Sus scrofa: one gene and its partners. The protein of the gene in region 2 interacts with the protein of the main gene of each other region in a pairwise test. Links are inferred from orthologs where the notes say so. Each region holds a gene or a part of one and is shown on either strand. Other genes may lie near its edges.

Evidence for each region. The genes of interacting proteins can lie anywhere in the genome.
Region 1: the proteins of MAD1L1 (region 2) and LGALSL interact in binary tests that used the Homo sapiens proteins (3 or more experiments, as listed by UniProt). The two-hybrid records come from large-scale screens. The link is inferred for Sus scrofa from reciprocal best matches to the Homo sapiens genes MAD1L1 and LGALSL.
Region 3: the proteins of MAD1L1 (region 2) and MFAP1 interact in binary tests that used the Homo sapiens proteins (3 or more experiments, as listed by UniProt). The two-hybrid records come from large-scale screens. The link is inferred for Sus scrofa from reciprocal best matches to the Homo sapiens genes MAD1L1 and MFAP1.

The regions. Positions count from the first base shown.
Region 1 is NC_010445.4:77,475,679-77,480,233, forward strand, and holds the start of LGALSL (galectin-related protein), read right to left. Parts: upstream 3,182-4,555; 5' UTR 3,056-3,181; coding exon 2,987-3,055; intron 2,474-2,986; coding exon 2,402-2,473; intron 2,265-2,401; coding exon 2,176-2,264; intron 1,511-2,175; coding exon 1,333-1,510; intron 1-1,332. UniProt on the Homo sapiens protein: Does not bind lactose, and may not bind carbohydrates.
Region 2 is NC_010445.4:1,297,043-1,300,943, forward strand, and holds part of MAD1L1 (mitotic spindle assembly checkpoint protein MAD1), read right to left. Parts: intron 3,750-3,901; coding exon 3,542-3,749; intron 1-3,541. UniProt on the Homo sapiens protein: Component of the spindle-assembly checkpoint that prevents the onset of anaphase until all chromosomes are properly aligned at the metaphase plate.
Region 3 is NC_010443.5:127,740,146-127,744,587, reverse strand, and holds the start of MFAP1 (microfibrillar-associated protein 1), read right to left. Parts: upstream 3,182-4,442; 5' UTR 2,981-3,181; coding exon 2,902-2,980; intron 1-2,901. UniProt on the Homo sapiens protein: Involved in pre-mRNA splicing as a component of the spliceosome.

The DNA of each region.
Region 1 (4,555 bases), about 76 Mb from region 2:
ATGTGACACTTAATGCCTCCACTCTCACTCCCTGAACAATTCTATCCCACCTTCAGAGAAGCCCCTCGCTGGTACCCATTAGTAGCATGTAATAACAGGTATTCCAACATGATAAACACTAAAGCAAAGAGAAGGTTACACAGTAATTACCATTGGATCAAGGATGTGTAATTAAAAAGGCTTTCTTAAGCCAAACAGAAATACTGATTCCGTACAGTAAAACCTTTTTCTTCCTCTTTTAAGTAACTCACCATAGAGTTTAATCGCTGGTTCTATGCTATGTATTTACTAAAAGCATTTGTATTCATCACACAAAGAAAAACTCCATATGTGATATTAGTCACATTTAATTCATATTATTACTAAAATTATATCACCAAGAAGGGCTGATTTCATTTCAGTTTTGTTGTTGGAGCATTATTTCTCTTGGCAGAAGCTCTAGCTACTCATACTCATGAGCTGTGCATTAAAATTCACCAATAAGAAACTGTCACATGGAGTTCTCTTATAGCACAGCAGGTTAAGGATCCAGTGTTGATGGAACTTTTAAATGAGTGTCATTATTATGATGTGTATTAAGAAGGTGTAATGCAGACACTTCATTACCAGGTCTGACATGTCAGTAAATTTTTTCCTAACATGTTACTGATTTGCATCTCTTACTTGGCCTTGTCCTCTATAGAGGAAGGTGCTGCTACTGCTGCTTGATTGGGATGGAAGTTTGGGCTGCACTTCCTGCATGATAGAGGGGACCAAATCTATACTCATCGAGGCCCAAAGGAGGGAATGTGTCTGCCACACAGTCTGTGACAAAGAAATACACTGAGACCACTTAACCCAAAGTGGGAAACGAAGACAGGGCCAGTCCTCATTAGCAAAAGGAAGAAGAGAAAATAAAATGATAATCACTATATTCTTAAAAAGATGTAACTGATATGGTTTGGTGCTACTTAAAAGGTTAAGAAAAAATGAGAAAAACTCTAAATACTTAAAAATATTTATTAATCAAACAGGTATTTCAGGGCAGGTATCTATTATATGCCTAGTGCTATGATGAATAGTACATAGAAAAGTATTTATTCTTAGCAATCAAGACATGAAAATATGGGTTTATTTACATGTATTGGCTAAATAGGGCCAAGGTCTACTATTAATTTTTAATTTGTATTGGCAACCAGCACTCTATTGATTGCTTTTCTTTTTTTCATTATCAGGTGACAAATATCCTGGACACACAAAAAATTCTGGCTGTTTAAAGCATTCTTGGCAGACCCTAGATGAGAACATCACCATCCTGCCAAAGGCTGGAGCTGAAGCACTCGAGGTACTCACCCTGAATGGCTGGTCTGGGATGAATGGGAAGTAGGGGATGGCTGACTGCTCTTCACCTCTTTCCCCAGATATACAAGAATTTCTGAGCAGCTGTCGGTCTGTGAACACAGCTTTAAGTTCAATTGCCACATCGGCGGGAGGATCTTCCGAGTCACCACAGGTCAAGCTGATGGCAAAGCTGGAAAGAAAATCATCTCATTTATTCATGGTTGAATAGAAAGACATTTAACAAAGACCTAGGCTCCCAATCCTTTCTTCTTCTCTGGATTTGTCAGCTTTTAATGGGCCACTACTCTTCACATGGGAGGTTAGACTATGGAGCAGTAGGATTACAACAAACTGGTTTATTTTGTTACCTAGCAGAGGCCCTGGTGAAAACTTCCCTGAAGATGAAAATAATTAACTGTAGACATTTCAGATACCCCAAACCCACACATCTGTGTCTTAATCCATTTCAAAGTCTCAAATTGAGCCCAATAACCTGACCAGGGGAAATACTATCTTGTAAAGTTTGGTTCTCATTTATATTGATAGTTCTTACTCCAAACACCATCCTTTAAAAAATGTAAAAAAAAAAAAAAAAAAAAATCCTTCGGGCTCTCTAAGGGTCAAAGAGAAAATGATGTGGGCCTATATTTATAATCTCTGATATAAATAGCTGTCTAGAGAAATGATGGCTGGGATTCATACACATTCTTTTCATGGGAACATAGCACTTTCTTGGCACTTCCAACTAGCAACACTGGCCGCAAGGGGAAGAAGAGGAGACAGAGTAAACCACAACAGGAATGGGTAAGACCTGGTGACCCTCTGATAGATCTAGGTGACAAGAACTTGTCTTACCTCTCCGGGTTGAGGTCTACGATGCCCATCACTAACACCTTCTTGCCTGGTCTCATGCCACCTTTAATGTGCCCACAAAATGGCACGATCTGCAAAGGAGAAAGTTTACAGCCTGTTAGGGAAGAGCCAAGCCCTCAGATTCTGAGGACCTGACCCATTAGAAAACGCAGTTAGAAAGAAGAGGGTACAGGCAGGCAGACACAGAGCGCAGAACAAAATCATTTACCAATCGTGGGAAGTACACGTCGGCTTGAACTGGAGAGCCCAAGGAGTTGTTTAAATGCCCATCGTCTAGTTTCTAAAAATAGAAGCAAACAGATTGGCTTTCTAAAGGCCTTTGGGGAGGGGGTTGGGGGGCGGGGAAGAACCTACACAAATCCGGCGGAATCCAGCAGCCCTGCACAGAAAGCAGGCAGTATCTGCAGATGCTGCCACCTCACAGTCCACTGAAAAACCGCATAACCCCCCAGAACAAAACCCGTCCTTTCCACCAGGTAGCTAAGCCTCTGACGATCCCCAGACCCTTCCAATCTAGATCAAAATCAAGGTCGAGGCCCACTGGGGAGCCAGTGCCCGGCGCCGGAACAAGGCAGGTCCCTCTCCAACAGCAAACGCCCCTAGAAAAGCGGTCGCCCAGGCCTGTCCTCCGGGACGTGGCTGGAGTGCAGTGGCCGCGCTCAACTTCTCTCGCGAGCCCTCGGCGCGGACCCATTTCCAAGGGGGAATCCCCGGGACGTCGGCGGCGGACGCGGGGCGCACGTCCCGGACACAATCACACAGGCGCACACTCACACGTGCAACGTGCACACACCTGGCCGGCGGCTGCACGGCGCAAAGGGGTATGGCGGTCACCCCTATCCCGCGGGCCGCCCCCACACATCTCCCCTCAGCCAGGGCCCTTCGACCGGGCTACCCCTCCGGCCGCACACCGCGCACAGCCCGCTCCCGCTACCAGGTACTGGGGCGCCTTTCCACGCGGGGGGCGCGGGGCAGGGCCTCGGCTCGGCGGGAGCCGGCGGCCTGGCCGTGCGGGCCGCTGGAGGGGGGCGCACTCACCACCACAGCATCGCTGTCGGCCACCGACCCCGCCATCTTCTCGCGCAGCGCGGCGGGGAGCACGGCTGGCGGCCCGGCGGCAGGGGACGTGGGACGCAGCGCGCGGGCGGGGATCCCGGGGCGGTCCTGCACCGGGCGGGAACGCGGGTCCGAGGCTGGCTCAGGCGCGCGCACACACGCGGGCACGCGCGCGCGCGCACCAGGGGCCCCGGCGCCGACCCGGCCGGTGGGGCCGGGGAGAAGGGGAGGAGGCGGGGGAGGTGCCGCGGGCCGGCAGGTCTGAGGTGGCCGCAGCCGCCGGCGTCCGGACAGCGCTGCCGAGTCGAGGCTGCTGGCTTCTTCAGGGTGCTGCTGCCGCCGGTTGAGGAAAAAGGTGGCGAGGGCCGCGCCTTGCCGGCCCTGGGCAGCATTTAAAGGCCGCCGAGGCCCGGCTTGGGAACCGGGAACAGGGCGGGGACCCGGCTGGGCTGCTGCGGCTTGCTCAGCTTGCCCTACCCCTCGGCCATTGGACAGTGGCAGGAGGCTGGGGCGGGAGGGACGGGCCTGTCGGGCTCGGGGCGTGAGTACGGGCGGCCGCCCGGTCGGCCCTCTCCCTCGGCAGGGTGGGTGGGGCTGGGGCACGGGGAAGTGAAGGCCTGAGCCTGCCAGGTGACAGGTGCTTGTGACATCCCGCCCCTCCGCTCCATCCTTCTCCGGCCACGTCTCGGAGCAGGTGGGACTGTGGAGACCGAGGTCAGCAGAAGATTGGGAGTGCAGATGGTATTCCAGAGCTCAAGATTTCTTTCAGAGAATTCCCACAAAGTACGAGGAAAGATTCATTGGGCTTTCTGGGGTAGAAAGATAATGAAAGGTCTCTGAGCTTTGCAAAAATAAATATTTGACCTAAAAGCAAGAGGTAGAGAGAATTCACAAGTGGGACTTTTATATTACAGAAGATTAGGTACAGAAGACTCCACCCCCCGCCCCGCCCCCATGGAAGAATGGGCAAGTCTGGGGCTACCTGGAAGCTCTCTCATGCAGGGGTCTGGCTAGTCTTAACAAGTTGAATCCGTCAGAGTGACTGCCCTCAGAAAGCCTCCATTAGACCGTTTTGTTGTTGTTGTTTTCTTGGTTTTATTAACAAGTCACCTGCTCAGTATAGGGAGTAAATTTGTCACTGAAAATCTCCTGATATACTTTGTGGAGCACTTCTCAGGGGGTACACCCCTCTTTATTCCAAGGCACAAATTCCTTTATGGTTTCCAAATTAGGATGATTATGTAACTACTCAGATAAAGCTGTATCAACATACCCTTTATTAGATGACATCTTGGCTTAAACATTC
Region 2 (3,901 bases):
CTCGCCAGAAGAGGCTCAACGCCTGCCCTGCGGGGGTCAGGGAGGCGGCGCTTAGGGCGAGCCGGGACTCGCCTGAGAGGAGCTCCTGGCGCGGCGAGGAGGTGGAGCTGCAGGTGCGCAGCACGCGACCCCGCAGCCCTGCTCCCCGCGTCGACCCTTCAGACATGCACTCCTGGTCACGGGAACTGGCGGTGACGTCCTGTCCTCCGCTCTCAGCAGTTTTGTGACGACGTCTGGGTGAGCCAGACCCCCGCCCCCGCTGCGGGCTCGGGTTCCAGCCTTAGCGCCTCAGAGGCCTCCCTTTTCAGATCCTCTCCAGGGACCAAGCCAGCCTCCCTCCACCTGCTGCAAGGCCCGGAGGGAAGGGCGCCGATGCTGCGCTGCCGGGGCCGCGGGCTCAGGCGCATCGGACCAGGCCCCCCTGGGCCTCCCGGTGTGGGGGAGCCCCGGGGGGCGACTCCCCCTCGCCTCCCACGTCCCGCAGTCTTCCTGGCTCTTCGGGGGCCCCTCCCGCTGGGAACAATGAGCCGGTCTCCCCGTCCCCTCGGTCCGTGTTCCCCTGGCTCTGCCCCTGCTGATGGCCCGAGGGCAGGGCCGGGTCCTGCGGACGCCTGTTTTGAGTCGGCAGGTGCCACACAAGCCCGCTCTGCCACTCCACCCTCACTTACACACGAGCCCACGGCGGCGGGAGGGGCAGCCCTGGACCCGAGAGCCCTGCTGGCCGGCGCCCCGTGGCCCACCGTGCCTGCTGAGTGGCGCCGGCGGACAGCAGACGGCGGACGTGGGAAGGAGGGTGCGGCTCCGTTGGGAGAGCGGACGGCGTGGGTCCCACCGCAGCCCCCCGGCCGGCGCCCTCCTCCCTGGGCAGAGCAGGCGGGGCTCCGCCGGGGACCCCTGGGGATCGGCTACGCAGCCAGGCGGTGACAGTGTGATCACCTTGTGTGCCACTGACAAGATTCGATGAATATGAATGCACTGCCTAATTAAACTACAATTAATCTCTCTGGCCCAGGCTGGGTAAGGAGGGGGCCCTGGGGGAGGCTTCTGCCATCCAGGGCCACGGCCCCGAGAGGGTTGTCAGCGATTCCTGTCAACGGCCCAGGAACACCTGGGCACAAGGTCCCCCTGCCAGTTGGAGCCCGGTCACCTGAGGCTGGGCAGCGGCCCCACAACACCCCCCCTCCCGACTCCCAGCCAAGCCCGGTGCCCAGGAGGGCACGTGGCAGGTACAGCTTCTCCCATCACGTCGCAAACTTGGGCTTGCCGCATGCGACAGCGGCCACGACTATCCAGCCTCCAGGGCCGCTGCCAAGGAGCGAGGAGCGGAAGCTGTGCCAGTCCTGGCCTTTGACAAGTGACCTACTCCTGCTGCCGGGCGGGTGCCATCATCCGCCACGCGAGAGGCCCCCTCACCCTGAGCTCTGGGCGCCCTGTTCTCAAGACGGCTCCTTGGGTTCTCCGAACTTTTCCTCCTGTTTCCACCTCACTGCATTTTCGTCCCACTTTCAGATAAACTTGCTCCACTTTATAAGTCTTCTGTTTAGACTTCCGTTTAACTCTTGGGTTTTTCTTTATTTTTGGCTACACCTGAGGCATATGGACGTTCCTGGGCCAGGGATGGAAGGTGAGCTGCAGCTGCGACCTGGGCCACAGCCATGGCCAAGCCGGACCCTAAACCCACTGCACTGGGCCGGGATCGAACCCACAGCTCCGCAGTGACCCGAGCCGTGCAGCCGGATTCTTAACTCACTCTGCCACAGAGAGAACCCCTCACTCTTAGATGTTTTTAACTTTCAGTAGCTCATTAGTTTTCATTCTGAAACCTTTTAAAGTCCGTTGTTCATGTTCTGGCCAATGTCTCTCCTTGTCTCTCCGAAGGCACAATTTCTTGGGGTTTTCTTCACTCTGAAGGCCTATTCCCTCCAGTTGCATCTTTTCACTTGTTTGCTCTGTGCTGTTTTTCAGATGCTGGACAATCTTAGCGACAGGTAGCAGTGGCCTGTGAGCAGAGGCGGGGCCACCGTGGAGGGAAGAGCCAACTGCCTCCGGGGCCTCTAGGGCCAGTGCCTGTGGGCCTCCCGGGGCTGCACAGGGTTCCAAGGGCCACATGGCCGCCAGGTGAGAGGAGAGGGAGGGCAGGATGGGTGGGGCTCTGGTGCCCACCTGCCTCCCCCTCTACCCTGTTCATGGCCCTGGCCACGCTGTCTGCAGAGCAGCAGGTCATAGATGGGGGCAGGGGGGCCCATCTGAGCCAGGAGCTCTGAGCTCGCAGGTCTCAGAGCCCACACGTCCCGGGAGGCTGCTGCCAGCCTGCCCCCCGCTGCCCCCGGGAACCGCTGCTCTGAGAGCACAAACGGCTGTGTCCAGACGGCCACTCTGTACTGTCATGGGAGAGGCTGTGGTCCACGTGGGCACAGGACTGGGTGAGGAGACCTGCCTGCCTCTTTGCAACCCTGTACAGCAAGCGTCCTCCTGGAGAACGGCCGGGTGCAGCTTTGGGCAAGACCCTGCTGCTTCGAGGGTGCACCCCTGGGACGGAAACTCAGATCTGGCTGACGTGGAGCCCTGGACCTCTGAGACCGTGTGTGCCTGGCGCCGAGCAAGGCTGCCAACCAGGGACACGGGGCCTCGGGCATTTAGAGAAAGGCTGGGTGCACGTGGGGACAGCAAGAGCTGCAGCTAAGACCCCAGCGAAGGAGCCAGGCACAGACCCCGCACCAGGCGGGCTCATCACAGGCCAGGGAGGAGGACGTGACGCCGCACACACTTCCCAGCGCCCACCCTGCAGGCACACGGGGCGAGACTGCAAACGCGCAGGAGGAAGCCGGAGGCGGCTTCCCGGGAGGAAAAGCCCCTGAGCAACGCCCGAGGCGGACGCTGCCTACGCCCTTGCAGACCCGAGAGCCCCGCGCTCCAGAGGGCGGGGTGCCCTCTCCCCAGGCCGCCCGAGGCCCTGAGCGGACGGCAGCGCTGGGCACCCTCCAACAACTGCAGAGGGAGGCCGCAGGTGCCCCCTGGCCTCCGGCCTTCCCCATGGGAGTGGGGTGGTGACCCCTGGGAAGGGTCCTCAAGGGATGCCCTCTGTCCCTGGAGCTGCTGGACCTGCCTCTGCACCGCAGCAGGGACGTGCCCAGGGCGGCGCCTGGTGACCGAGGCACGCAGTGGACGGGCTTGGTGGTCATGGAGCTGCCCGGGAACAACGAGCGGTGACTCCAGAGGCTGCAGCCTGGTCTGGGGCTTCAGGGCACACGAGACCGCACGCTGGAAACGGCTGCTTCTTGCCGTGCGGGCCCTGCTGCAGAGGGCTTGCGGGCTCCCTGAAAGGCCCGCGGGTGGGGAGACACAGTCCCTGTCCCCCCAGCGCATTGGGCTTCCTCGGGATGAGCGGACACACCTGCCGCAGCGGTCGGGGACTCAGCCTCTGGCGCCTGCCCGATTCCTGCTGCTCTGCAGGCCCACCCACCTGCCTGGACGGAGGCTCCACCTCCTGCACAGCCCAGGGTTGCCCACCGACAGACAGACGGATGGGGAGGGGGCCTACCTGCCACCTCCTTGGACGAGGGCAGCCCCGCGGCGGCCTCCAGGTCGGCGGGGACGGGGCCCCCGGCCTCCAGGGCACGGACCAGCTCCCGCAGGTGCTTGCACTCCTCCTGCAGCTGCTGCCAGTCCTCTCGGAACCGCTGTCTCGCCACGCTGGCCGGGTTCAGGCTCAGGTGCAGCACCTTGGTTCTGCTCTGGTCAAAGTCACCCTGCGGGACCACAGGCGGGAGGTCAGAGCCCCAGGCAGAGCGCGAGCGAAGGCAGAGCGGAGCCGCGTGCAGCCCAGCCACCCCCCCGGTCTCACTGCCGCGTCCCGAAAAAACCCACCCAACCCACCTGCGGAACATCGGAGACTCTCAAC
Region 3 (4,442 bases), on a different chromosome or scaffold from region 2:
ATGGGTCAATGTGGGTTTACCATTGTAACAACTGAATCACTCTAGTGAAGGATGTTGATAATGGGGGAGGCTATGTATGTGTGGGGGTAGGAGGTATACGGTAAATCTCTGTATTTTCTCAATTTTGCTGCGAACCTAAAACTTCTCTAAAAAATATAAAGTCTTGATGGGAAAAAAAAAAAAAGACTAGGGTGAGGTCGGGGAGAGTTTGCATTAGATCACAAGACTTATTCAAATTTATAGTTATTAAAACAGTATATCATTGAGGGATACAAAGGGACCAAGTGAACACACAGAGAGCAGAGAAACAAACCTATAATGAGAACTTGGTATACTGCAGAAGTGACATTAAAAATCAGTGGACGGCAAAAAAACCAAACCAACCAACCAACCAAAAAAATGACCTTAACAGATACCTCACCAAAGAAGTTATACATATGGCAAATAAGCATAACTTGCAGTGGGTACGGCAAAACAATGGAGTAGTTGGGGCAACTGGCTAGCCCTGAGGTAAATACTAAAATTAGATCTATAATGGATGCCACACACACACACAATTCCAGATAAGCTAAATACTCATGCACGAAAAACACATCTTAAACATTTACATCCCTGCTGGACTGTAAGCTCCTTAACTTATAGTCTGTCTTAGACAACTGTGTAATCCTTCCTATTCAGAATATACAAACACTTAGATAACCAAAAATCTTTTTTTTTTTTTGGTCTTTTTAGGGCGGCACTCAAGGAAATGTGGAGGTTTCCAGGCCAGGGGTTGAATCAGAGCTGCAGCTGCTGGCTACACCACAGTCACAGCAACACGGGATCTGAGCTGCATCTGGGATCAACACCACAGCTCACAGCAATGACAGATCCTTAACCCACTGAGCGGGGTCAGGGATCAAACCCGAGTCCTCATGGATTCTGGTTGGGTAAGTTACTCAAAAGACTTTTTTTTTTTTTTTTAAATTGGGAAGGGGAACTCAAAAGACTTTTTTTTTTTTTTTTTTTTTTTTTTAAATTGGGACGTTCCTGGGCCAGGGACTGAAACTGGGCCACAGCTGGGATCAGAGCCACAGCCAAGATAATACTGGATCCTTAACCTACTGAGCCACCAGGAAACTCCAAGGATTTCTTAAACAGTATACTAAACACCACAAAACATAAAAGACAAAATTGTTAAATCTGTCAACAATAAAACTAAAAACACCTGTGTGACAGAAGACTCCATAATTAAAAGACAAGCCAAAAAACTCTGGGAAATAGATATTAAAGTTTGGGGGAGTTCCCATTGTGGCACAGTGGCTAACGAATCTGACTCGGAACCATGAGGTTTCAGGTTCGATCCCTGGCCTTGCTCAGTAGGTTAAGGATCCGGCATTGCCGTGAGCTGTGGTGTAGGTCGCAGACGCGGCTCAGATCCCTAGTTGCAGTGGCTGTGGCATAGGCCGGCGGCTACAGCTCCTATTGGACCCCTAGCTGGGAACCTCCATGTGCCACAGGAGTGGCCCTAGAAAAGGCAAAAAGACAAAAAAAAAAAAAAAAAAAAAAAAAAAAAAAAAAGATTTGGGATGTGTCAGAACAAACTAAATAGAAAATGGGTAATTGAAAGAGATAATTCATAGAAGACAACACCTAGAGAGATGATAAACACACAAACAAGATGCCTAGTAATCCTGGACTCAGGAAATTGCAAATTAAAATAACGTGCTATTGTTTCACACCCATTAGATCGGGCAAATAAAAAAAATCTCATACAACCAAGATTGTGGGTAATATAACAGGAAATAAAAACTTTCAATGCTCTTACAATCCACTGTGGAGAGCAAATGGCAATAGGTAGTTAATTGATGAAGAACTTCTAGGAGTCTACCCTAAAATTCTTAAGGCAGTGCACTAAAGAATGATAACTGCAGCGCTGTGTGTAAGAGGAAAAAAAGTAACAAAACAGCTAATTGTCCCTCAGCAGGGAACAAACTCCATATAATAGACCTCATAAGCAGTTAAATTAATAAGATCTCCATGTATCCAAAGGCACTTATCAAAAAACCACAGAGTTTAAGGAAAAAAAAAAAAAAAGGCAGGTTACACAAGGATAAGTACCTTATATTTAAAAAACAGGAAAGAAGTGATATTATTTTCCAAATATCTTACTGAAAAAACTCTTGACTTTTCAGTCTGACTCCCTAAACAGGTACAGTGTTGCTTCATCCATCTGCACTCACTGGAATCAAACCTATCCTTTAAAGATCAACTTGAGTACCCCAGTCTGAAGAGATTATTCAAAGCGCTTGGTTTACATCACCTATGTAACAGTATTAGGGGTGCGAAAGACTGCACACTTGCTTAGAATAGGTCTCTTTTTGCATGAATCACGTCTACTATGAGTTCCTTAAGGTTAGGGGTACTGTCTCTGTATTAAATTTAACAAATACAGTCACTGCGTTGGTTGAAAGGGATTAAAAAGTTTAATAAGAGAGGGTTCCTGCCTTGAGGAATCTATGAGTTTATGATGCAGTAGAGAGAGATGGACACATAATTACAGTAAGAGTTATAAAAGCATAAACAGATTATGGATAACAAAACTGGGATTGTATCCCGCACAACGCCTTCCAAACAGCAAGCGTTCACTTTATTTATTACTCTAGTTTATTGGTGGAGGCCAAGGGAAGAGGATGCTTGCTGTAGGAGTGAACCGACAGGCTCTAGGAACAAGATGAGGTGGAAATAGTGTGGGTGTTTTTTTCCCTTCTAGGCAACGCGATTGGATGCGAGTTTGATGGCGAAAGAAATAGGGGGCAAGGTCTTAAGGATCGCTGGGGCTGAGGTGGTGGGCCCGGGGTCGGTTTGGAATATGCTAGGGAAACAAGTAAGATCCGACTGGAAAACAGCTCAACACAGTACCTTTCTCATTGCGAACCGGGACGGCCCCAGCCGTAGACTGAATAGGCGGTTGTTTCATGAGTGCGCTTGGGACCGACATTTTGATGGCAGCGGCGGTGATTCCAAAACTTGACTGATTCCAAACTGTGAACAGGTACAACGTCAACGAACAGAAAATCCTCCGCACCAGAGGCCACTGGACACTGCTGCGTACTGATAGAAACACCACTTACGGCTGAGCTAGAAAAACAGGAAATGTACGACTAGAGGATTGTGGGATTGTGGAGGACGTCAGGGAGCCAAAGTCCGTGGAGTCTGTTACTGCGCATGCTCATAAACTCCCTGTCGACCTTAGTCTCGCGGTATTTGGACGCCACTTCTGGCGGGAAATGGCTCTCTGGACTTTGCGGTTAAGACTCTGAGGTCCGCGGAAGACCCGAATTAAAGGTTTCGCTGATTAGGTTCGTTTGAAGCCGAGGAAAATGGCAAAGTGATGAAGAAGAAACCGAGGAGTTAGAGAAGGACAGTGTGTTCAGATTGTTGAAAGCTAAGAATTAGAGTTAAATCGAAATAGAAATCCTGCTAATAGCACCTGATTTTCTCACTTGATGAGACCGAGCGGTTTGTAGTGCGATATTTTTGGGTTACGTCAGGGCAAGTGGTGCTAATTTAGACCAGTGGCAGGAAAAAAAAATCCCCTAAACGGCTTAGAACAATGCCTGAAATCCAAACACTCTTAGGCGTTTCAGTTCTTTCCTTTCTAGAGACTGCCTATTAAAACATATTCTTGGCTGGAATGGTTGTATATGAAAGTCCATAAGTAATTATTAAGCACTTGCTGTATTTACCTCGTTTAGCTCTAAGGAGTATGGAGCATTGTTAAAAGGCTTATGTCTTCCAAATACTTGAATTTTATTTAGGAAGTCTTCAAGGGCTTTTACAGTAATATCAGAAACAATCCCAATTTACTTGCTGGGCTGTGTAAAAAACATAGGCTAATTGAAAGTCAAAACACATTCAGTGTAGAAAGGATTTTATAACTGCTGTGGTGGGGAGGGAAGGGACACATGAGCAAAGTCTTGAAGTACAGAAATTGCATGGTATATATATTAGACACTATGAAAAGTTTGATTTTATCAGTAATTTTTCATTTGAGGAGTGTGAAAGTTCCTGAAGGGCTTTGAAGGATTCGTTCTAAAATTATTTCATCTGTGTTCTAAAATTGGGCTTAGGCTGGGAGAAATACAATTGAGCAAATCTCCATTAAGGAACAATGGATGACTCAAGTAAGCCATCAAAGGAGCAATTTTGAGCTGGAAAGAAAAGGACTGTAAAAATAGAGCAAATAGAAATTTGTATTATAATTTTATCAGCTTCAAAACCGTGCTATTCAGAAGGAGTAAATCTGATGGGAAGGCAGTTAGTTGTTTCTGCTCACGGACATCTAGAGAATAGAAAAAAAAGTTTGATATGACTGTAACTCTTAAATGCAGTGCCCTAAAGTCTTACATTTGGTGCTTTTGTGATACAGAAGCTATTGAGAACTTTCTCCCAGTGTTGGG